Xenopus tropicalis: one gene and its partners. The main gene of each other region encodes a partner of the protein of the gene in region 5 in a complex. Links are inferred from orthologs where the notes say so. Each region holds a gene or a part of one and is shown on either strand. Other genes may lie near its edges.

Evidence for each region.
Region 1: gpkow (region 5) and cwc22 share a complex: the UniProt entries of both Homo sapiens proteins name them as parts of the minor spliceosome. The link is inferred for Xenopus tropicalis from reciprocal best matches to the Homo sapiens genes GPKOW and CWC22.
Region 2: gpkow (region 5) and ppil2 share a complex: the UniProt entries of both Homo sapiens proteins name them as parts of the minor spliceosome. The link is inferred for Xenopus tropicalis from reciprocal best matches to the Homo sapiens genes GPKOW and PPIL2.
Region 3: gpkow (region 5) and rbm48 share a complex: the UniProt entries of both Homo sapiens proteins name them as parts of the minor spliceosome. The link is inferred for Xenopus tropicalis from reciprocal best matches to the Homo sapiens genes GPKOW and RBM48.
Region 4: gpkow (region 5) and snrpf share a complex: the UniProt entries of both Homo sapiens proteins name them as parts of the minor spliceosome. The link is inferred for Xenopus tropicalis from reciprocal best matches to the Homo sapiens genes GPKOW and SNRPF.
Region 6: gpkow (region 5) and rbmx2 share a complex: the UniProt entries of both Homo sapiens proteins name them as parts of the minor spliceosome. The link is inferred for Xenopus tropicalis from reciprocal best matches to the Homo sapiens genes GPKOW and RBMX2.
Region 7: gpkow (region 5) and cwc27 share a complex: the UniProt entries of both Homo sapiens proteins name them as parts of the minor spliceosome. The link is inferred for Xenopus tropicalis from reciprocal best matches to the Homo sapiens genes GPKOW and CWC27.

Annotation. Positions count from the first base shown.
Region 1 is NC_030685.2:63,083,823-63,088,023, forward strand, and holds the start of cwc22 (pre-mRNA-splicing factor CWC22 homolog), read left to right. Parts: upstream 1-1,401; 5' UTR 1,402-1,622; coding exon 1,623-1,649; intron 1,650-4,201. UniProt on the Homo sapiens protein: Required for pre-mRNA splicing as component of the spliceosome. As a component of the minor spliceosome, involved in the splicing of U12-type introns in pre-mRNAs. Promotes exon-junction complex (EJC) assembly.
Region 2 is NC_030677.2:154,149,600-154,153,698, forward strand, and holds the start of ppil2 (peptidyl-prolyl cis-trans isomerase-like 2), read right to left. Parts: upstream 2,801-4,099; 5' UTR 2,743-2,800; coding exon 2,711-2,742; intron 1,675-2,710; coding exon 1,625-1,674; intron 1-1,624. UniProt on the Homo sapiens protein: Has a ubiquitin-protein ligase activity acting as an E3 ubiquitin protein ligase or as an ubiquitin-ubiquitin ligase promoting elongation of ubiquitin chains on substrates.
Region 3 is NC_030682.2:31,762,945-31,767,059, reverse strand, and holds the start of rbm48 (RNA-binding protein 48), read left to right. Parts: upstream 1-1,315; 5' UTR 1,316-1,430; coding exon 1,431-1,541; intron 1,542-4,115. Other genes in the region: pex1 (peroxisome biogenesis factor 1), read right to left, coding at 978-1,088. UniProt on the Homo sapiens protein: As a component of the minor spliceosome, involved in the splicing of U12-type introns in pre-mRNAs.
Region 4 is NC_030679.2:57,034,801-57,038,748, reverse strand, and holds the start of snrpf (small nuclear ribonucleoprotein F), read right to left. Parts: upstream 2,801-3,948; 5' UTR 2,673-2,800; coding exon 2,670-2,672; intron 1,801-2,669; coding exon 1,675-1,800; intron 680-1,674; coding exon 615-679; intron 1-614. UniProt on the Homo sapiens protein: Plays a role in pre-mRNA splicing as a core component of the spliceosomal U1, U2, U4 and U5 small nuclear ribonucleoproteins (snRNPs), the building blocks of the spliceosome.
Region 5 is NC_030684.2:24,001,980-24,004,715, forward strand, and holds part of gpkow (G-patch domain and KOW motifs-containing protein), read left to right. Parts: intron 1-2,375; coding exon 2,376-2,577; intron 2,578-2,665; coding exon 2,666-2,736. UniProt on the Homo sapiens protein: RNA-binding protein involved in pre-mRNA splicing. As a component of the minor spliceosome, involved in the splicing of U12-type introns in pre-mRNAs.
Region 6 is NC_030684.2:38,932,791-38,935,009, forward strand, and holds the end of rbmx2 (RNA-binding motif protein, X-linked 2), read right to left. Parts: coding exon 2,021-2,219; 3' UTR 501-2,020; downstream 1-500. UniProt on the Homo sapiens protein: Involved in pre-mRNA splicing as component of the activated spliceosome. As a component of the minor spliceosome, involved in the splicing of U12-type introns in pre-mRNAs.
Region 7 is NC_030677.2:188,222,693-188,226,192, reverse strand, and holds part of cwc27 (spliceosome-associated protein CWC27 homolog), read left to right. Parts: intron 1-2,296; coding exon 2,297-2,409; intron 2,410-3,500. UniProt on the Homo sapiens protein: As part of the spliceosome, plays a role in pre-mRNA splicing. Probable inactive PPIase with no peptidyl-prolyl cis-trans isomerase activity. As a component of the minor spliceosome, involved in the splicing of U12-type introns in pre-mRNAs.

The DNA of each region.
Region 1 (4,201 bases), on a different chromosome or scaffold from region 5:
CGAAATGTTTGTAATCATTGCGAAAAATATGACTTTTGCATAAAAATTTATGCAAAACCCGAATAAGTCGCGTAATTGTACCGATATTTTCGTGGTCATTACAAAAAGTTCTAAACTTTACAACAATACAAATTTTTTTGCAATCGTGGTCATCGTGCTTCGATAAATGTGCCCCTATGGGGCTGATTCATCAAAGCATGAGTTCAAATCTCGAAATGGGTATAATTCAGATTAGATACAATAATTTCTCATGATCGGAAATGTCACGAAAATGCTTACGAAAAAATCGTATTAGTCACGATAATATTGTATCGGCGATCCGAAAGTGACTAAATTTTCATATCCGAATGATTGTAAATGGCTTTGATCCTTCTGTGCATGATTTTGGAAGCCTCTCATAGGACTCAATGGCACTCTGCAGCTCCAACCTGGCCCAAGGAAAGCCTCCCATAGGGCTCAATGGCACTCTGCAGCTCCAACCTGGCCTAAGGAAAGCCTCCCATAGGGCTCAATGGCACTCTGCAGCTCCAACCTGGCCCAAGGAAAGTCTCCCATAGGGCTCAATGGCACTCTGCAGCTCCAACCTGGCCCAAGGAAAGTCTCCCATAGGGCTCAATGGCACTCTGCAGCTCCAACCCGGCCCAAGGAAAGTCTCCCATAGGGCTCAATGGCACTCTGCAGCTCCAACCCGGCCCAAGGAAAGTCTCCCATAGGGCTCAATGGCACTCTGCAGCTCCAACCCGGCCCAAGGAAAGTCTCCCATAGGGCTTAATGGCACTCTGCAGCTCCAACCTGGCCCAAGGAAAGTCATGATACCGAAGCTTGAATGAATCCGAAACTTTCGTACTCGTTACGACAAATACGATTTTGTGGCACAAATTGTTGCAAAGTACGAAAAAGTCGCAAAAAATACGCGCAGTACAAAAACTATTCGGAAGCAATCGTACTTTGATAAATGTACCCGTGTGTGTTTCACATCATGTTACAGAAGCCCTAAAAAAAAAGTGTGTATGATGTGGAAAGTGTCCGTTCCTTGGTGACAGGCTGCCGTCAGTAATCAGACTACTATTTAGCAGGGCCCTCACCCCAGGGAATTTCCTGCACCAAGTAAAATAGAAACTCAACAAAGAATGGACATGAAAATACTGCAGTTACCACTTATTTTTTAACAATGGGTATTGGAAAGAGCTTTCTCTTATTAAACAAAAAATATTTAGCGGTTTAAAGTCCCTTTAATTTTAAATACACTGGTACCTAGGAAGAAGGGCCTATTTGTGTAAATGATTAAATGTAAAGGACTGCAATATAGCTACACCGCTTATTACAGCCAACGCTGCTATTTTAGCTTCTCCTTGCGACTCTTAGTCCCGTTTGTCCTGTCTCGGCTCCCGTACATATCACTGTGCGCTGGCTAGAATAGAGAATGCTGGGAAACCGGAAGTGTATTATGTCGTGCAGTGTGAGCGGTATTGTAAATAGAACACTGTGCGTTTAATCCAATAAGCGGGATTGTTCTTTATGTAATTTGATTTGGGTGGCGGTGACCAACAAGCGGTTGTTTATTCTAAGTCTTTACATTTTCCGATCTCCCCGAGAAGCTTTGGAGGGGGCAGCTTGGTATCATGAAGAGTAGCGTGGCCCAAGTCAAAGTAAGTTTTCTGCTTACATTTACCTTATGGTTACAGAGTGGCTTTATCCTGGACTTTCAGCTTGAGATCCTATAGCGAATGGAAAATTACAACTTGCAGTAACCTCTAACGCTGAGGATCAAGGGAGCTATAGTTCAGCAACTTATGTGGGGCACTCAGCCCAATGCCTTGAGGGTCATAACATTTGAGTTCGGGATATTTAGTCCAAACTATGCCGGAACTAAATTCCCAGAGGATCATTATCTTCCTTATGACAGGGAACTGGTTGACGTCTCTACAGTTAATAAAGGTGGAAAAATTGTATAAAAAAAAAGACAGAGGGGGGGGGGGTCAAAGCTCCATGTTTTTTTTCTGCCCACAGTGCCCCATGCCATTAATGTATTATTTACTTATATAGCACAGGCATTCCTCTGCGCTTGACATATAATGCAGTATTCACATTAGTCACTGCCCCAGAGAAGCTTACAATCTAAGGTCCCTATCAATTCATGCCTAATAATTTTATCGAGACCCCGTTAACCTGCTGTATGTTCTTGGAGTGTGGGAGGGAACCAAACTACCCATGCATAAACGGGGAAACATTTTATTTATTACCCAAGTAAGTCCCTTTACAGAGCACTTACTCCCCAGGGTTTCTTCTCTCTGCATAAATCTAGCGCTTGCAGAGCGGGTCCTGATGCAGGCAGTGCCTCCTGACACACCATACATTATGCCTCTGATTGACATTAAAGGAGAATGCAAGTCAAAATTTAAAAAGCATACTGCCCAGTAGTCCTATTGTTTAGTAAAAACGCCACACTTTTGGCTCACCTAATCAAATATTTACTTGGTTACACTTACTCATATTTTCTAGAACAGGCAGCCATCCCTATTTCCCCTTCCTTTCCCTCCTTGCATCATACTGCACATGTGTTTCATTCCCTCCCCCCCCCCGGCAGATCCACTTCTGATTGGCTGGTGGGCATGTGTAGCTCAGAACAGGAGACAGGATCAAGTTACACACATGCTCAGAGAATAGGAAGGCTGCCGCTGGCACCTACAGGAAGGGGAGAGAGATTTTAGTGATGTCACTATAGTCTTCACACTGCTGTAGGCTGCCGAATCCCAAAATACTGGCATCCCTAGTAAAGGCTAAATGACTCTGAAACCACAGAAAATCAACAATGTGTATCACTTTCATTGTATACTTCATCTTGGGAGTTAATTTAAGGGCCTTTAAGTCAGAGCAGGATGTTCTATGTGACTTGCCAGCTTTTGTTGAGTTACACCTGCCAGCAGCAGCAGCAGATTCTGGTTTCAAAAACTGCTGGGCCTTGTGTTAGAGATTATTTATTATGAGTTTGTTTACACAGGGAAGTTTGTCATACAACAGCAGCCTGCAGCTTTTACAAGAGGCACCAGGCAAGCACAGTATTCAAATGTAATACTAAGCAACGTTCCAATATACATTCATTAAAATGTGTCAGTGATGTTACTGTTTTTATGTAAATGTATTTGCTATTAAAATCAGTAACTGTTTGGCTGGTGCATCCTATTCACTCCTGGCTCTGACTCCCAAAACAATGTTGCAAGCCACCTGATTTACAGAACTGAAGGAGACCTGACAAATTGTTATAAGAGTCAGAAAACAGAAAGAGGTAAAAAACTTGCTTCTTGCTTCCTTTCCAAATAACGTTTTAATGATAAAACCCATGAAAATGATACATTTATGCTTCAATGTTGCCTGTTATTGCATTTTCTTAGTGCAAAAAATGATACTTTTTGGCTGGAGATAACTCTGGTCAGGTTATCTGCCATTTTCTGGAATAAAAATGGCAAATACATCGGTCACAAACAGATATATGTATTTAGAATCTTGACGTAATATAAAATATACAGGTATTGAAGAGCAGGGCCACTATTGGAGAGTGTAGGGATTCTGTAGATGAAGACCCGAGATAGAAAGAAGCAATCTATAGCTCACAAAAAGAGTAGAAGTTTATAACTAGTTGGCAGGCTTTGGGACAGACTAGTGGCTTGGCTGTGCATGTGAAGGGATTCTCTTCTACTCCCTGAGCAATAGACAGAAGGGCAGACACAAGTTATATGCACAGAGATACCCCTTGAATTTGGTGGTTGCAGCAGAACAACATCTGATGTACAGGTATGGGACCCTTTTATCCAGAATGCTCAGGATCTGGGGTTTTCTTGATAAAGGATATTTCTGTAATTTGGATCTCCATACCCTTAAAGGGGAAGTAAGCCTTTTATCTTAAAAGCCCCTAAAATGACTTTGTCTGTTGCAGACTCTGTATCACAAACAGCTCAACCTCAGCTCTCTCAGATACTTCCTAATCTTAGGTTGAGCTTCTTGTGATACAGAATCTGCATCGGACTGAGTGCAGAAAGAAAGGGATGTTATACTGGGGCTGTATAGAGTCTTATTTAGAGAGAGAGGGGGAAAAAAAAGGTTTACTTATTTTTTGTATGCTAATAATCATTTAAATGTTAAATAAACGCAATAGGATTGTTTTGCCTCCAATAAGGGGTAATTATATCTTAGGTGGAATCAA
Region 2 (4,099 bases), on a different chromosome or scaffold from region 5:
TGGAAAATAGATCCTATAATCTGTTAATAAAATGCAAGAAAGAAATATGCTGGACTCCAGTTTCATATATAGAAAAAAAAAAAACTCTTGCAGAAATAAAAACACCTGTTAACTGAAATTAGGCAGAAAATCTGTATCAAGTGTTCAATGTACCAATAATGTCATGCAAGACAATCTTAATCGGCCAGATATCGATCGGGCAGATTAAAAAATTCAGTCGGACCGGGGACCGCATCGGCACGTTGATGCGGTCCACGAACTGACTGCGCCTATTCCAGCCGTTATAATTCGATCATTTGCCCCCAGGGCCAAACGACCGAATAAGCCTAAATTACCCCGATATTGCCCCATTGCCCAAGGTGTATGGCCACCTTTAGAAGCAGTTTTAAGTAAACAACAACATTATAGTCAGGAGAGATGGCTGCTACATCAAGGCGATGTATCGCTAAAACTTTCAGAATATAATCGATTAAAAATTTGGTACCATTGTGGAAATAATTAGGTTTTTCTTCAGTAACCCCCTCTTAGCAATCTGTCTCTTTTTATGCAGGAGCTGGAGTCAGATCTAATACATCACTGATGTGTGCTCCCTTTGCCTATACAGGTATGGGACCTGCTATCCAGAATGCTCTGGATTAGCAATTATAGGGGTGACTGCGGGTTCAAAGTGATAATTAGGAGCCCATGATTTATACTTAGAGGGGGGCAACAAGTGCACATAACTATATTAGATACTGGTTACACATCTCAGGGTCTAAGGCAGAGGTGCCCAAAAGGTAGATCACGGTCTACCAGTAGATCACTTTAAAGTTTCTGGTAGACCTCGAGGTGGAATGGAGTGGGATGACATCCCGCCACTTTTTTTTCCCCACCCCCAGCATACAGGAGCTTTTGAGTGCGGCTGCTCAAGCCATCCGTCTTTGTAGTTTCATCCCAGTATATAAGACTGTCCCCACCGGGTCGCTGTATATATTTGTTCCCACTTTATAAATGTTTCTGTGTGCAAACTACAAAGTGGGCCATGAAGACGGGAAGTAAAAACTACTACAATCCTTTCACATTAATCTTGAAGTTGGCACCCCCACATGGTCCTGCTCAGCTAAGTCTCAGTAAGGAGAACTGCATCCCTGGGGATGCGCCACATACTATTGTGGTTATAAGCCATAGTTCTCTGGAGAACTGTGTCCCCTTGCTTAAAAATATTATTATTGTAGCTGCACCCCCATAAATTACCATTTAATTGGCTGAGCACTGTAGCACAGGGCAAACATAATAAATAAATGAATTTGTTTTCTTCCAAGTCCAGTGAGTGCTGTGTCCATTTGTTGTTTACATTTTGATAACTACACCAGGCAATTTTTATTCATTAGGAGATTACATTACTATGATATATATGTTATGATTTGTTTTGATTTTTCAAAAGAAATCCCGGAGTTGCTGGTCTTTTTTATACTATTGAAACCCTTTAGAACCATAGAGGAGCACTCCCTAAACTACCCAGGCAAGTAGCCAGAGTGCTGGTAAATATGTTAAATAGAAAAGCATAGTACCACACTCAATGGAAAAACTTGTGAAAAATCAAAATTTAAATATACATACAACCTATGTATGTAGTTGGTCTTACCTGGTCTCTTTCCTCCATAGAAGTTTGTGTATTCTGTACAAGTGATGTACCTGGTAAAATAATTAACAAATAAACAGATTTAGTAACCACACAGGATTAAGGGAAAAAGATGGTATAAAATTAGCATGTAAACATTTCAAATGGCCAAAATAGGATACATAGTAAAAAAAAACTAGAAAGAAAAAATAGTCAAACGTGCAGAATCAACCCTCTAGTGACCAAAAGAGGGAAAAATTACAATTTAACAATTAAGTCTGTAACTATCAAAAAAAGTTAAAAATTATCAACTTTATTACAATCCATTAAAACAAACCCCATGTACAAAGCCAGACGTGTTTATGCTTATGCAGCATGTAATCATAGGCTGGATAAAATTAGCATGCCCAAAAACTAACATGTACAGCTTGAATGTATCAAAAAAACAAAAAAGGAGGATGCTCACTAGAACAGTAACCTATGCCAATGTATTTTTTGACAAAGAGAAGAACCAGTCTGAGGGCTGATGTCAGTGATTATTATTACTGGGGGGTATGTAACAAATGGGACCCGCCACGCTCAGTATGGCATGGTACTCGGGTTTTTCGTGCCATGGGATTTTTCTTAACAATTGGTTAGTCATCTTTAAAAATTGTTTTATTTATTTTAGGGTAGCATAACACATGTCCTGTAAACAGCCTTGGTCATTTTAAACTTCAGAAACCGTGAAAGCATTTGTGAACAATATAGTGATACTTAATGGTGTATAGTCTTTGTGGGGGCAGCAAAGTGGCATTTATGTGCCACCTACAACCTCCATTTCTGCTTACACAGGACCTTGATATAAATGCTTCCCAGTCTATCCTAAATAAAGGTCCCCACTGTATGCAATAAGTGAAAGCCTTCTTCTAACAGATACATGCCCTCCCCCTCACACACAGCATTCCCTTAAACAAGAAGATGAGAGGTTGTAACTCTGGAATATGCTATGTGTGCATTATTGGGCGAGTGTAGATCCACAGACACAGGTTACACAGAGCATGCACAAACAGTACAACAACAATACGCCGCCATTTTACGTATAAGTCGCATTTAAGGCTCGCAACTTACATTTTATCTTTTTGATGCTGACGCTTCCCCATTTTGTTTATCTGTTACTGAAGCCCCGTTCTGTTTCAATACTGAACACTTTTTCCAGACTTAGCGTCCAATTATAACTTCCGGTCCGTCTATTGGTAGGGCTCGGGTACCGGAAGTAAAAAAACGCGGAAGCGTCTAATTCGAAATATCTGTGTTCCTAATACTGGAGACGAGGATGCTATGGTTAAAGTGATTGGCATTAAAGTAGAACTAGTTGTAGATATGCTTTTGTTTGCTCCACGTTTCGCAAATTCATTATAATTAATTACATTAATATGTCGTTTCTGTAAAGGATTTCAAAGAGAAAAGGAGCATTTTAAAGCTGTCAGGGGCAACATGGAAAAGGGAGGGGACGGAGAAGATCTGGCGCGGAGTGAGAAAGTGTTGAAGAGAGCAATAGGTGATGTAGAATAGTAAGCGATGTGGCGGAGAAGATAAATGTTAAAAATAGGGCGTTTGGGGCACCAACCTCAAAGCTGATAAGGAGCAATATGAATATTAGTGTTTTCTTTACCTATTCTGACTCAAGAAATGCGCTAAAATAGGTGGCAAATGCTTTTTGGCATTCTCAAGCCCAGTACTGACTGTCAGAACTAGTTCCTGCCACTCTTTTGGTACCTGTTCTGACACATGACATTATTTGTTTTATCCTCTCTAAATGGTTTCCATAATATGGGATTAAAGGCACAGTTCAGTGTAAAAATGAAACTGGGTCAAATAGACTGCTCAAAATAAAAAAAATATTTGTAATAGAGTTAGGCAAAAATGTACAGTAATTATAAAGGTTGGAGTGGACAGATGTCTATCAATAGCCAGAATACTACTTCCTGCTTTCAGCTGTCTAACCTCAGTTAGTTTGTGAGCACGCAGATCAGATTGAAAAGTAGTGTTCTGGCTCTTATGTTTAACATCTGTTCACTCTAGCCTTTATAAATAACATTTTTGGCTAACTCACCTACCTTTGGCTTCAGCCCTGCCTAAATAGGTGCCTGGCATTGTTTGGTTCCTTTTCTTAGGGCCAGAACAGATGTGTTATCCTGGTTGCCTAAATACATGCTTCACTTAGGTTCAGGCTGCTGGAATAAGTTCCTGGTACCCTATTATAAGAGCTGGAATAGGTGTCAGCACCCCTGACCCCTGTTTTTAGTGCCAGAAAGGTCCCCTGGCCCTGTGGCTCTTGTTCCAAATCTTAATTGGGTTAATTACACCAGGCCCTTACTGGCAATCTGTGGGTTTGGCAAAGGGGCTACTTTAAGATGCCATAGACCAGTGCTGTCCAACTGGCGGCCCGCAACCCCCCTCTGTGTGGCCCCTCACCTGTCTGGCTGCTTTGATGGCTTACCTTTGTGTAAGCTTTAA
Region 3 (4,115 bases), on a different chromosome or scaffold from region 5:
CTACTATACCTGCTATGCCACAGCCACAGTCCCTTCCCAGAGGCTATTATCCCCCCACTGCTACTATAGGCACCATCTCTCCCTACTATACCTGCTATCCCACAGCCACAGTCCCTTCCCAGAGGCTATTATCCCACTGCTACTATAGGCACCATCTCTCCCTACTATACCTGCTATCCCACAGCCACAGTCCCTTCCCAGAGGCTATTATCCCACTGCTACTATAGGCACCATCTCTCCCTACTATACCTGCTATCCCATAGCCACAGTCCCTTCCCAGAGGCTATTATCCCCCCACTGCTACTATAGGCACCATCTCTCCCTACTATACCTGCTATCCCACAGCCCCAGTCCCTTCCCAGAGGCTATTATCCCCCACTGCTACTATAGGCACCATCTCTCCCTACTATACCTGCTATCCCACAGCCACAGTCCCTTCCCAGAGGCTATTATCCCACTGCTACTATAGGCACCATCTCTCCCTACTATACCTGCTATCCCACAGCCACAGTCCCTTCCCAGAGGCTATTATCCCACTGCTACTATAGGCACCATCTCTCCCTACTATACCTGCTATCCCATAGCCACAGTCCCTTCCCAGAGGCTATTATCCCCCCACTGCTACTATAGGCACCATCTCTCCCTACTATACCTGCTATCCCACAGCCCCAGTCCCTTCCCAGAGGCTATTATCCCCCCACTGCTACTATAGGCACCATCTCTCCCTACTATACCTGCTATCCCACAGCCCCAGTCCCTTCCCAGAGGCTATTATCCCAGTTGATATTATTAATCCTTTTCTGACACCTACACAAATACACCTCATGTCATGTTACTAAACTCCCTCCTGCTTTCCATGTAGAATCACCTGAGAATCCCAAAGCCCTGGTTAGTGCCCGGACAGGGCCATTACAGGCATCATATTAAAATAAACAAGTGCTGCCCATCACGGACAGACGGGCCCCGGTTAGAGTTACCTGCTCCAGGCGTAATTGTGCGAGCACCTCAGGTGTCACACGCAAAAATGTGTCCTTAGCACTTGTGAGTTTCAGGGACACAGCAGCCCCGGGCGGTCCCGGACCTAGCATCCTACTGTGGCGTACCCACAGCAACCCCCTTCACTCCAGCGCTGTGTATGACGAACGTGCAAGTAACAGAACTTCCATCGCTAACGTTATCAGCTCCTTCATGCCTACTGGGTAACTTCCGCGCTGTTTCACCTTTGACAATCGAGGAAATCCCACTCACCCTGTGTCTGCTGACGTATAGTACCTCCCGCCCAATCAGAGAATGGCGTGCTCTAATGACGCCTGTGTGCGGGGCAGTCCTTCCGCCTATTGGTTCTGCTGCCTTTCCGCCTATTGGTTCTGTGTCCCGGCCTGTGTTTGGTACAGGGAGAGAGGGAACTATTTCTTAGACAGCAGAAGCCGATGGCAGAAAGCGCAGCAGTGCAAGTGCAGGCCTACGCACACCATGAGCAGCGAAAGATATGCGCCTCACGGGCCAAGTACCGCGAAGGACGGAGGCCCAGAGCAGTCAAAGTGCGTGAAACATTTACAGTTTTTGTTTTGGTTTTTATACGTCCACACAACTAGTATTCCAGCGTATTCTTGCGGTGGGACTGAGCGCCAGTGCCGCTCTAGCAGGTTTCCCTTCGTAGAAATTGCTCCCTAGAGTTATCACTGAGTTACAGCTTCCATAAGAATGTTAGCTCTTCTATATTCATGTGGTTTTAATTGGGCACTGTGTGGGAACTGGTAATGATTTCTGTTTCTACATAGGAGCATATTGTTCCACTGAAGGAAAAAATGCTGCCTTTTTATCTGCACCCACTGATAGGGGAATAGTGTGGGAGAGGGATTAGAGTTCTAGTTCACCATTTGGAGGCAGTAGGTTTCATTATAAACTATGGGCTATTTCCCATGATTGTAATTATAGATGTCACAGACCCAGTGGCTGCAACTGATAAGGCTAAATATATGTTTATGAATAAAAAGATAATTTTGTGGTTGGGCCCAGTGGTCTCTAGTTACACCAGCAGTCATGTATACTGCAAGCCAGTGGGGTACCACAACAATTTCAATTTAGGGCCCAAAAAATATTTGTATGTTAACCTATTCTACCAAGATACATTGACATTTCTCATCAATTAGGGTCTTATTGGGCCACTTCCATTCCTGGGCCACTTCCATTCCTGGGCCACTTCCATTCCTGGGCCCCCTTCCAACTGCAGGGTCTGCCCTAGCACACACTCCAGTTTCCCTTTCCTTGCCCTGTAACATTACATCATTTCACTCTGCACACATTCTCATACAACCAGCACACTTAACATGTCTGCATATAAAAAAAACACACACAAACTGATACTATTTTCTTTTAATTTCATAAAGAAGAGTATAATGCACTCAGTTACTGGGTTCACGTTAAACTGAGGGGTATATTTAAAAAAAAAAAAAAAGTTTAAATTTGACGCTTACCAAGATTGACTTGTAAGGGTCTGTTTTAAGCTTTCCATATCATGTGACAAATGTAAGATGCTGATGTGCATTTAAATTTTAAATGTTTGAGAAATAAAAAAAATTATATTTTGACCAAAAACTGAAAATGTGCCTCATCTCAGTTTTGTGCCTGTAGCCCTCGGCTATTGCACCCAGTCAGATTTATTCATATAATGCCAGAGATTCTCAGCTGGATTGAGGTCAGGCCTGTGACAGAGCCATTTGATCACTGGGATCACTGTTCTACTGAAAGATTAATGTTTATTTTTTAGCAGCCTGGAACAGGCTTTTTTTTGGTGATATTTCACTGTATTTTGCCCCATGCCTTGAAAACAATATTCCCAGTTGCTGCGTTAATTATATAACACACAAATCTGTGGTACTAATGAAGAATCAGGCTTTTGCGCAGAGAAATCTTTAGTTTAGGACTTTAAAAACTGTTGATTCCTTGCTGAATACTTGGACAGATAACCATTTGCTTTATACAGTATGGCAAACATGGCATATACAAACAGTTGTATCACTCTGGCTTGATTAAGCCATTTTACAGATGATGCAAATAGAAAAACTTTAACGTATGTTCAAGCCAAAGAAAAGTATCCAGTGCTTTCTAGCAAGTTACTGGCTTTCCTTCAAAAGCGATACCAGTAAAATTATATAGCCATCCTCCCGCCAAGAGAGCTATATCACTGGGCTTTAAACTATTATATAAGCAGAAATGAGTTGCTGGAAAGCTGCACACCATAAGAGCAAGTTAATACCTGGGTGCCAGTGCTGAAAGCGTAGATACACAGGGTTGGAATGACAGCACACGCAGGATGTTTTTCAAGAAGAATCACAGAGGTTTAGATAAATAAATGTGAGGCTTTATTCAGTCCGACGTTTCAGTTCCTATCTGGAACTTTCATCAGGGACAGTAACATCACAGTGCAGTACAAACCTTTTTAAGCACAAAAGGGCCCTAAACCTCTGTGATTCTTCTTGAAAAACATCCTGCGTGTGCTGTCATTCCAACCCTGTCTATTATATAAGCAGATAGTCTATACTTCTTCCACCAAGGGACACAACAAATGGCTTCTGAAATTTTCTCAATTACAAATGTCTCAAGGCCTTACAGTATGCAAATAAATGTCTTCCAATGGGATCATATAAAGAAATGCATCTAAAATTCTTTTTATTGAGCCTACTACTCGCCAAAAGTCAGTCCCAAATAGGACTCTCTGGAGGCAGATTTATTTAATTGTTTCTGGACATGTCCTCATAGTAAAAAGTTTTGGGTATCAATAACTTGTTATGCCATTGATAACTTGCTAGACTATGTTCCTATGTTACCAAAATGGATTATGTTCCTATGTTACCAAAATTGACAATGTTTGGTATCCCTACCAAATACTAGACTTATTGGGGGAGTAGAAAAGTACTGTTTATCATATCTGCAGCTGCTCGTAAATATATGCTACAAGTGTGGATAGAGAAACAACCCCGTCACTGTCTTTTTTTAAAAGTAAATTTTATATATTCACCTATTATTTCACCTGTTTCACATGGATTGGCTAGAAGTCTCCCTCCAAAAAGAAAAACACACGAGATGAAGAAAGAAACAAATGGCAATCAGTT
Region 4 (3,948 bases), on a different chromosome or scaffold from region 5:
AAAAGGAATACAATAGTTAAACAGTTTAGCAGAGAAAAGGTAGCAGTCACATTGTTTTTCTAGAGAAGGGATACAATTCTTGCTACTAGGTAGTTATCAAGAAAAAAAAGGGCAATCTACTCACGCCTCCTTGGAGGTTGTGCTTTAAAGAGAATATTTAAAAGGACAATTTGTTGCCTTTTTAAATAATTGTTAAATTACACAGTTTAGATAAGAAACTATTTAAAAAGTACATTTTTTTTTTTTACAGAATATACTTTACATTTTTCACTGGTTCACATGTATGTATATATATTTTTATTTATAAAGCGCTACTTATGTACACAGCGCTGTACAGTAGAATACATTAATACAAATAGGGGGTTAATAAGATAATAGATAAATACAAAGTATAACAATAAATACAAATACATACAAGATACAGTTACAGTTGCAATAAGTTAAGAGTCAAAGACACAAGAGGATGGAGGTCCCTGCCCCGTAGAGCTTACAATCTATATGGCACATGCAGTTGCCTTAACATGCTGACAAGAGTTTGCTTTCTATTTCAGAAAAGCAGACATATATGCTGTAATGTGACCACCTACAAAGCATCCCCAGTGCACAATTCTTACCTTATCAAAACTTCTCCAAGATGTCCAGACAATGCACCATCAATATATTCTTCTGTGTTTGCAAGCTGCAATAATATATATAAATGAATTAACCAACAGAAAAAGCTTCTCACACATCACAGCAACCTTGGATAATGGACACTCATTACTTTCTCAACCATCATTACTATAAAAAAAAAAAACTCTGCAATACAGAAATATTAATATTAATTGTTACTTATGTTTTAAAAGCAATTAAGCTGGCTAATTGGTGCTAATGCTACTAGGGTTAGCAATGGTACTATAAAGTGTCACAACACTCTGGCAAGCACTCCAGCTAATTGCATGCAACCTTAAGCAGCACTTAAAGGAACAGTAACACCAAAAAATAAAAGAGCTTTAAAGTAATGAAAATATAATGCACTGTTGCCCTGCACTGGTAAAATTGGTGTGTTTGCTACAGTAACACTACTATAATTTATATAATAAGCTGCTGTGTAGCCACGGGGGCAGCCATTCAAGCTGGAAAAAAGGAGAAAAGGCACAGGTTACATAGCAGATAACAGATAAGTTCTGTAGAGTACAATAGTGTTTTATCTGTTATCTGCTATGTGCCTGTGCCTTTTCTCCTTTGAATGGCTGCCCCCATGGCTACACAGCAGCTTATTTATATAAATTATAGAAGACTTTCTGAAGTAAACACACAACTTTTACCAGTGCAGGGCAGCAGCACATTATATTTTAGTTAGTTTTTTACACTTTAATTTTTTGGTGTTACTGTTCCTTTAATGTATTTCATTGCCAGCAATGGGCTGCTGATGCCCAAAACCATTTTACTTGTGCAATTTCCTAGTGTTAACTAGAGACAGAGGCAATCCAATCCAAATGTCTCATACACTGCTCTAAAATGGCAACAGGAAAGCCCAGATACAATTCTGGCACAATATAAAGGGAATATAATATAAATTATATATACACATGCATACAATATATATTTTTTTTTATTAAATAATCTAATAAATTAACTTATAACAGCAAGTAACCAACTATAATATCTGACATGTTCAGTGCTATTACTTACCTGCATGTTCATGTATCCATCCACTGATACCAAGTAGCCTTTGTACTCCATCCCCCATTTCAGCTTTACCATAACTGGCTTACCAGTGAGGCCATTAAGGAAGGGTTTTGGATTCAGTGGTAAACTCTGAAAATATAATCATTTATAATATAAATATTCAATAGGTCTTGTGATTAAAACGTCAACTCATGCAATAACCTGAAGTAATCATATGCATACATTTTCAATACTATATCTCTGCCTTTATTTGTCCTCAGTTTTCTCATGCTCCCTTCCAAGAAACCAAAAGGGGACACCTGCCTAATAATGATACTTGGGGCACGGCCAGCAACAACAACCACAAATCCATATCTAATAGAAATCATCCTTTCTTTGGTAGGAGGCTATATATTATTACACTACCACAGTAAAATGAAAAAGGGGCATTTATTTATTCTTCCTGATAGTTGAAAGTGCAGTTCAATAGCTGGAGGGCCACAAGGCTGCACATCACTGCTGGCTGAGGGCAGTCACAGTACAAACAGTATAACATGCCATTTGTAGCATTACCACTTGAGATATGATAGGCAGAGGAACACATGGCCTTTAGGAAATTATCAACTCCCATGTGCCACCGCTTTAAGAACAGACGCAAACATCCCATGTTCGCGGCTCATCCCCAGTAGAGATAGTACCATCCCACGCTGCATGGCTACTTATATTTCAGCGCAGCCTACACCGCGCCTTACATACAGGCTCTTTCCGTGCAACGTGCCCTTAGCGAGTACACACGCTGCAAAGATAACACGTTACGCCTTTCCACACAGGCCTAACAATAAAGCAACCAAACAAACCCGAACCAACTGCATAACCCATTCTGTAAATCCGGCGGGATAAGCTGCTACTCGGGATAATGAACAGCCCCACACACCATGCTGCCTGCACTCCCCCCCATCCCTACACACTGACACCCCCTGTCCCGCCAGGCCTGGAACTCGCACACCTCCAGTACTTACCATGGTGCGACCGCAGCCTCACAACAAACTGCAGATCAATAAAAAAAATTCCTCCCCGGAGCGTCCCGTAGAACACACCGCTGGAGCAAAGCGGGAAATGGCTGCCAAGGCCCGGAAGCGACAGGAGAAAAGACCATAGAGAGCCGACACGCGTTGAATGGCTAACTGCTCCCTCTAGTGGCTGGAGTTGGATTTCCAACATGACTCCAACAATCGCCAGTGGAGGCGGGATTATTTCACAATGGTGTTGTATTGTACAAGGCTCACCCTCTGTGCTGACTCCGGGCCGCCTCAGTACTACTAGTACTACAGGGCCTTCCCCCAGGAACCGCAATTAGGCATTTCTAATAAATGCAAGTTGCTATACTGCGCTGACTGCAATTACAACAAATACAAACATTGCGTCCCGTCTATTTGTATTTCGTACCTTGTTTTGATTATTTGTTAACGCTATGTAATTATATTCACTATTATGCACAACAGTCCAGATTTAGAAGCCTTGATTTTCCGAGGACTTGGTGGCACTTGGAGGGTAAAATTAGAATGGGTAAAGGAATACTGTCATGAGAAAAGGTTTTTTTTCAAAATGCATCGGTTAATAGAACTTCAACAGGTTTTTTTTTATATTTAATTTTAAAAGTTCACATGGGGCTAGCCATATTCTTCATATCCCAGGGTGCTACAGCCATGTGACTGATAAACTTCAGTCACACTTTACTGCTGCGCTGCAAGTTGGAGTGATATCACCCAGGAGTACCTGATTCCACAGGTAGAAAGAAAACCATGATAGTTTTCTCTGTGCTCTTTAGCACATTTGTCTCCCAATGTAATGCAAGCTGTCCCCCTTTATACCAGAATCTGTGCGCTTTTTACAAAGAAAGAAAAAGTGAGAGAGGGGTTGCATTACACTGTGACCCTAAGTGGGTTGCATACCCCCCAACTGTCCCGCTTTTCGCAGGACAGTCCCGGTTTTTACAGCGCATCCCGCTGTCCCGGATTGTTCAATGAATGTCCCGCATTACGGAAATGCAGAACATTCATTAAACTATCCAGGCCAGCGGGATGCGCTGACTGCAGCCAGCACTCCGGCTCCGTCTCGTCCTGTGGCTCCTGCTTCTTATTCGGCTCCTCGTACGGCGGCGACAGGCCCTTTTATAAGGTTGCGCCCATGCGTACGTGTGATGTCACACGTACGCACGGGGCGCAACCTTATAAAAGGTCCTGTCGCCGCCGTAGAAGGAGCCGCATAAGGAGCAGGAGCCACAAGAAGCAGCGTCAA
Region 5 (2,736 bases):
GGCCATGCATTTGACATCCATTTTTTTTTTTTTTTTTTTAAAGCAATTTCTCACATCCAAAATTACTAAAATGGTTATCCAAACATAGCTGTGTTATGTACATTCTCTACATCAGTGAACCCCAACCAGTGACTCAGGAGCAACATTTTGCTCCCCAACCCCTTGGATGTTGCTCTCAGTGCCCCCAAACCAGGTAGCTATTTTTGAATTCCTGACTTGGGGCAAGTTTTGGTTGAATAAAAACAAGATTTACTACCAAATAAAGCCTCCTGTAAGCCAATGTGCATAGAGGCTGCCTAATAGCCAATCGTAGCCCTTATTTGGCACCTCCATGAACTTTTATGATGCTTGTGTTGCTCCCCAAGTCTTTTTACATTTGACTGGGGCTCAGGAGTAAGAAAGGTTGGGGACTTCTGCTCTACATGTAACCATCCACCAATGACACTATTTAATGGGACAGCCACCCAGTTAGGTTCCATATTCCAAGTAGTTTTGGTGAAAGACTGAAGGCTCTCACAATGCAGCAGCCCTTTAGATGTTGTAAGACTACTACCTTTGGCCATTCCTGCATTATATGAAATATTGGAGGAACTATGGGGTGGTATCTGTTGCATCAAAGGTTAATGGTAATAGTTAAGTTGCAATCCTTTCCTACATGTACCAGTTTTTATAAAAATGTGTGACATTTTTGAAAAATTGTTTCAAAGCTTCCACTCTACAGCCTGGCACTTACAGACCCCAAAATATACCTTGTGTGCACTAATTTCATGGCTTACATTTACCTAATTCATAAACACACAGGGAGTTTTGTGTGTGGTGAAAGAGGCAAAAATGTAGGGTGACCCCTGAAAACCATATATTTTTGAAAGTACACATTCAGACAAATCCAACATGGGTAAAGATGCCTTTCTACACCAAAATACCAATCGGCAAAGCTTTCCTAAAGTTAGCGTTTTCTATGTAATTTCTGAAAATCACCTAAAGTCACCTAATATGGCAATTTGTCATATTTATCTCCCACAATTTTTTACATACAATGATAAATCATCCTAAATCTGAATGCCAGAGGTCTGCTGAACATTTTGATGCCCAATATGCATAGATTTACCTAAGTATGTGGTTATGTACCAAATGAAAGTAACACATGCAAATTTTCTAGCCTCCCAACTCAGTTTTTGCAAACAGAGCCCAGACTGCATGTTATATGCAGTAAAACCCCCTAGCTGCACAGAGACCCCCAGAAAAACCATATATTTTTGAAAAGTACACATTTTGACAAATCAGAAACAGCTGAAAACGTCCTTGTACACCAAACGGCAAAGCTACACTAAAAGAAATGCAACAAACAACAATGCAAGTGTAAAACTGCAATAAAATCACAAACATGAAATACAATTAGGCAAGTCAATGAAATAACAAAATTAATTATTTTACAGCGTGGTTAGTGGTCAGAATACTTTATTCAATGGTCACACTGGTTTCCCCTAATTTTTAAGGTAAAAACAAAAGACAAAATGATAAAATAAGGAACTAAAAAAGAGCAAAAAAAGTGTTTGTGTCTGTTTCTGTATACTTGTGTGTACACCTCGAAAAAGTGTGTAAAAATGTACAAATGCAAAAAGACAGAAATGCAAAAAAAAAAAACACATTTAGTAAAAGGCGGTTTGTATGTGTTTAAATGTATGTATGTGTGTGTTAAAATGGGTATATCTAGGTTAAAAAAAGGCCACGTACCTTTTTTGCGAGTCCTTGGCTGCACAGAGGGTCCCAGGACCGCAGATTCTCTGCAGCAGTTAGTGTGTGGGCAGGCTCAGAGGGGCTGCAGCAGGAAGCTCCAATAGCAGACACGAGTGTGAAGGAAAGGCAAAGTCACTTGGGGGTGCCAAAATGTTAGGCACCCCCAAGTGACTTTAATCGCCTACCTTTTACCCCGGGCTGGTGCCCCTGTTCAGAGAGAACAGCACCAGCCCAGGGTAGCTGCAGCGCTTCCTCCTTCCTGTATCGCTCGCGCGCATGTGCAGTAGGGTGAATAGTGGAACTTTAACAGAGAAGTCGGCTTTTCACTCTACTGCACATGTGCCTATATGTGATACGTGCTTGCCAGATAAAGCCTTTTCTGAAAAGCACGTATCACATACGTGCTTGACAGTAAAAGTGTCATTGTGGGTATGATCTTATGATAACATGGGTGTGGTTTGAAGGACTAAACTAAATTATGTTTGGCTTAAGTTTTATTTATTGCACATATGTTGAACAAGGGGCAGCATGTTGAAGAAAAAGATGGCAACTATAGTGCACATGTGAGGATAGCTGTGAATATTTAAAAGCAGTATTATGACTCCCACATTTTTCACTTTTTTCCCTTGTCCCTCAAGGCCGATTAAGTAAAGCGCATCAGGAATCCAAAGAGGAGCAACATAAAGACAGAAGCCCAGATAAAGAGCAACAAAGAAAAGATGGTGAGAAACACAGTGAGTCAAGCAGGAATAGTGACTTAAATAACAGAGAAAAGAGACATCGACAAAGGAGTCCAGATCGAGAGAAAGAAAAGAAGAAGATAAGGCCAGAGCCACAGGGGTAAAAAATCGAATTAGATGGCTATTAATAATAAGACTTTGCCTTGGGGGATGCTGTGTATTGATATTTTTTTGCTTCTCTTTCTCAGCTGGCTACATCGGGACTTAAGGGTTCGCTTTATTGACAAAAATTATAAAGGGGGAAAGTACTACAACTCTA
Region 6 (2,219 bases), about 15 Mb from region 5:
TACTTGCCCCTTGTAGCAAAGATCTATTGTGGATAAATCTCTCAATGGGACATCAGTCTAAAATGGCAGCTTCTATTTTAAATAAACGGAGAGAGCTTCTATGACCGTTTACTCAGGTATGGCAAAGCATTTTGCAGAATAAATACAGCATTCTAGCTTGCACTATTGTGGTTAATCTATTGGCAATAAAATGCCAAACTGCCTTTTTATTATCATTTAAATAACAGACAAAGCATATGGGCTAAAGTTGTGGGCAACCACCCTACATACTTTATTTAAAGGCGAATGTACACAAGCTTTCAGGATGGGTTCTAATTTATGTCCAAACTGAACTGTATATAGTGTATGCTGCAATTGGACGAACAAAATTCTTCTCATCTTTTGCTTTGTGGTCTATTCCTTTCTATGAATACATAAAGAAAACTGGGCTATCATGGATGTGCAATTTTATTTTGATGGAATAATACAGCTAGTTAAATACATTCATGTAATAGCGGAAATGAATACACAAATCTTGCTTTATTTGTCAAAAAAAAAACAAAAACATTATGACCACCAAATAAATCTAATAAACATACATTTGACAAGAGAGTGGTGGGTTAGTGGCATCCAATAGCTTTTTATATTATCCAGTGGCCAGTAGCCTGGTGGTGGGCTTCCCCCTCAAAGGGGTGAAAAAAACTCAAAGTGATAAATCACCCCCTAGGAGTCTGTATTATAGGTACATATGAAGAGCTTAAAAACCTTCTATACAGAGGTTCCAAACCAACCCCACTAATACAAGAAGTAGTGTAGGTCTGGCATAATGCTCTGAATTTTTTCTGTTCCAGAACTCCATCTGTGGACCAAATAATATTAAATGCATTAAGTTTAGGTTGCCCTGATATTGTAGACTCCCAATATTAATATCTGGTCAGAGCTAAAGACAAATAAGAATGTAAATGTCTACAAAGAATGTATCTCTGGTAAATGCCCTAAAATGTCATTTGGTCCTGTCACAGGATACAAAGGTTCGGAAGTTTGATAATACCAGTTAGATGGTCATAAATAATGTGCTGATACAGCCAGATCCACTAGCCCCTACCAGGAGCCGTGAGAAAACTAGTAGCAATACTCATCATTGTAATACACTGAAAAGCAGAAAGCCCATTGGAAAAAAGCACATCAATATGGTGTTTGCGCTGCACAAAGTTATTTATGCTGGGATGCCCGACAAATTTGGAATACTGTACGACCCCTTAGGTGTACACTGAAATTAACATGATTTAAGTTAATGCTTCTGCAGGGCACTGCTTTACACTGATGCCAATAACTTGTCATTCCAGTGCTGATTCACTTCTAAAGGCTACAATAGTGATCACCCCCTCTGGCAGCATGGGTGCATATAATGTAACCCTTATTATACTGTTTTTTCTTTCCTCTTCATATACAATGACTGTATGTAATGCCCTAAATGATACACACTGCTATTTGTGCAGTCACAACAGGCCATTGCTCCAGTTTTGTAAAATGTGTGTACTATTTGCATATGCCTTGATGTACCAGCTATACTATATTTTAATTCTGCTTGTGAACTAAATCTATTATAATCTGTTCAATAAAACTTGTATTGTTAAAAAGTAAAAAAAATACATTTGATCTTGGTGATTTTAAAGATGGAAAATCTCATTCTGCAGGTAAAGCTCTACTATATTACGCCAGATTACTCTATTTTAATACCTCATGAACTGATGTCACTTTACTTTGTCTACCAGTTTTTCAAATATTTTTTATCACTGCTCAGCAGTTGTATTTCTAATTTAGTTTTTTGACAGACAAACAATTATAGCAAGGTTCAGCTCCTGCCATTTCAAAGTGGCCAGTACATCACAATTGCCTTTTACTTCTTAAAATCCTTCTCCCATGCATCATTCCATACACTGTACACCAAGGGTCCTTAGTATGTATTTAATAACAACTTGGGCTTAAACACTGCACAGACGTTCCACCTCTTATTGTCCCCATAAAGCATACTCTTCTGCTACCTTCTGCCTCTTTCTGTCTTGTCTTTTGATCTTTGCTCTTGCTGCTCTCTGTACTTATCTCTTGGCATTTGTTGTTCTCGCTCTTTGCGTTCCTCTTTTTCCTTGTGCTGTTCTTTGTACTTATCATGGGAATCACCTTTGCTGTTACTCTTTTTGTGAGAGCCACGGTTTTCTTCCATGGCCCTTGAGCTCTCA
Region 7 (3,500 bases), on a different chromosome or scaffold from region 5:
GTAATCTATTTCACAACCCCTTATGCACTTTGTTTTAATAAATGTTATGCATTGTAGAAAGACATTTCACATTATTAAAAGAAGTGGAATCCCACTCTTAACGTCATGGGCGGCCGTATATGGCACTCAAACCATAGCTTAAGAACCCTTGCTTTATAGTGACACATTAACCTATGCTAAACTATGTGGGGATACAATAACAGGTGGCTAGTTTGCTCCAGTCCTGTGAAGCCAAAGCAAGAAATCAGTTGCAGGGGCATGCTGGTTTGTAAAGCTTCCTATTACTATTGTTTAATTATGCCTAGAACTACACATGTTAAAAAAGCTACTTATGGTGCAAAGCTAAAACAAAAAAAAGCATTTATTTATGAAAGTGAAAACATGGCAACTACAATTCTGTCCAGTTGCTGGCTGCTGAATAATTCTTTTTACTGACACTGCTAGATTATACTAGATTATACCTCATATCTGTATGCTTAAGCACAGCTTTTCGTTGTTTTCTTTTGTTAATTAAACCTGTTTGATAGATATGCAGTACAATAGGACCCATGTGGAATATTTCATTAATGGAAGACCTAGATGGAGCATTGAGTTCATGTTATCACATGACCATACCCATATTAATGGTGGTAGTACAGCAAAAACCTGCCATACTCTGCCTTCCCTACCCTGCCTGTGTGTGCCATACTCTGCCTGCCCTATGCTGCCTGTGTGTGCCATACTCTGCCTGCCCTATGCTGCCTGTGTGTGCCATACTCTGCCTGCCCTATGCTGCCTGTGTGTGCCATACTCTGCCTGCCCTATGCTGCCTGTGTGTGCCATACTCTGCCTGCCCTACCCTGCCTGTGTGTGCCATACTCAGCCTGCCCTACCCTGCCTGTGTGTGCCATACTCAGCCTGCCCTACCCTGTGTGTGTGTGTGCCATACTCAGCCTGCCCTACCCTGCCTGTGTGTGCCATACTCAGCCTGCCCTACCCTGCCTGTGTGTGCCATATTCTGCCTGCCCTATGCTGCCTGTGTGTGCCATACTCTGTCTGCCCTACCCTGCCTGTGTGAGCCATACTCTGCCTGCTCTATGCTGCCTGTGGGTGTCATACTCTGCCTGCCTTACCCTGCCTGTGTGTGCCATACTCTGCATGTCCTACCCTGCCTGTGTGTGCCATACTCTGCCTGCCCTACCCTGCCTGTGTGTGCCATACTCGGCCTGCCCTACCCTGCCTGTGTGTGCCATTCTCGGCCTGCCCTACCCTGCCTGTGTGAGCCATACTCAGCCTGCCCTACCCTGCCTGTGTGTGCCATACTCTGCCTGCCCTATGCTGCCTGTGTGCTGGCACTGCTCCTACAGTCTGCACAATAACTATATATTTAAAAACTTTTTAATTGCAGTACCACCTCAGTATATGTTTTTTGTAGTGTGCAGGGTTTATTTGTGGGTTTCTACTGCTCCTACAGTCTGAGGTGTGAACAGGTGAACAATGTGGGTGATTACAGCCTGAGCCTGAGGTTTGAACACTGCAGGGGGTGAACAATGCAGGGATTAAAAGGTGTGAACAACACAGGGGATTACATTTTTAAACAATACAGGTGGTTTTCAGCCTGAATCTGAGGTGAGAACCATGCAGGGGGCCAGTTAATCTCAGTACTGATACCATTTAAAGTTTACACAAAGGTAAATCATCAAAGCAGCCAGACAGGTGGGGCGCCACACAGAGGAGTATCGCCAGTTGGACAGCACTGTTTTATATAGTTCTCTATTGTTTTTTCATTGTACTTCTTTTTTCTTATTTCTTTCTCTTCTTCAGGTTATTTCTTTATCATCCAGCATTGTCTCTACCAATAAAAATTCCCTAAGATACTTTCTTTCCTCCCTCCAAATGTTACTAAATATATTCTGCCTAGAATAAAATTTTCTTTTATTGTGCAAAAAACAGGTTTTCTGTGCTACATTTTTATTTTAACACACTACACTTTTTCTCCTTTTAGCATTTTCATTCTTTTAAGCTATCCTTTTGTTCCCCTTCTCTGGGGGGGGGGGGGGCAATGACACTAGGAAATGAAATTACTATAATTATAAGTAGCCAATATGCTTTTTTTTACATGCAAAGACTATAAATTAATATTTTACAAGGTCAAGCTAATTTTGGTGTTAATTGTCTGCCCACAAAAAGACTGATCCATACTATGGTGTAGCTCATCCATTTCCTATAGACCAGAATGGTGTCTGCAGTGGGGAATATCATATTGACTGTCAACTGGTTTATGCGGTGTTTAAAACGTGTTGTCCTTTTCTTTTAGGTTATTATGATAACACAATATTTCACAGAGTTGTTCCTGACTTTATTATTCAAGGGGGAGATCCTACAGGTACTGGAACAGGAGGTGAATCTGTTTATGGTAAACCTTTTAGGGTAAGAAATATTTATGTATAAATCAACTTCTCCGTTTCCCCAGCTACAGACTATGATTTTAGATAAGGAGCAGCTCATTATACAGAGACTTTTCAGTGTACTATTGGTTTATATGGTTTTTCTCTTTGGGATCAGGAAATAGAATGTGATATTTCTTAATTAAAAGAATAGGGGGAAAGTATGTTTAGCCCAAACACTATTCACAGTGTAAAAAAAATATGGTACACTCTGGCTTTAAGGAATTCGTTGCTTTAAGAAGTTTTCTCAGTCTTTTGCTTTGCATTCTTTCTGCATTAAAAATGATAGTTTTTCAACTGGAATCAATCAATAACAATATTGATTAAATCCACTATAACAGAGTGATTTTTCAGGGTAATTAGCAGATCCATTGCAATAATTAAGGATTGATCAGAACTGGTCATTTTATAATGATCATTAGTACTTGTGGCCACTGATTTGTGTTTGAGTCTATATCAGGGGTGGGCACACTTTTTGGCTCTCGGGCCACATTTACTCACCCCCGGGCCCGACCGGGCCAGGGCGGGCCCCCTTCTCTGTTTAATTCCGGCACGCCAATGACACCAAGTCTCGCGTGATGAGACTTGGCGTCGGCGGCGGGCCGGATTAAAAAGGCAAAGGGGCCGGATGTGGCCCGCGGGCCTTAGTTTGCCCACCCCTGGTCTATATGCTCCTTTGTTTTACATGAGCGAAAATATGTATTAATCAATAATAAATGGATTGCTGCTTTCTTTTACACCTACAATGCTTCGCTGTAAAGAGTATATTTAAACAGAAATAGGGAGCTCAGTATAAAGGAGCTCCACCTTTGCCCCGACGTGTGCCACTGTGTCTCAGGCTTACAGATAAGGAAGAGTTATATATATTTAAAAATGAAGGGTTTCTGGGAATGGTGTTTTGGCTTCCTTGAATTCCTTCTCCTTAGACAATTTCTCTGAAGAATGAGAAAGTTTATATATTAAAGTAATTGGCCAATATGGGACACTGTTTTTTGTACTCATAAGATATCATCTAAAATTTATAAAAACTTGAAAATAAAAGAGTTAAAAAAAAAAAAAGGATAAATAGAAATT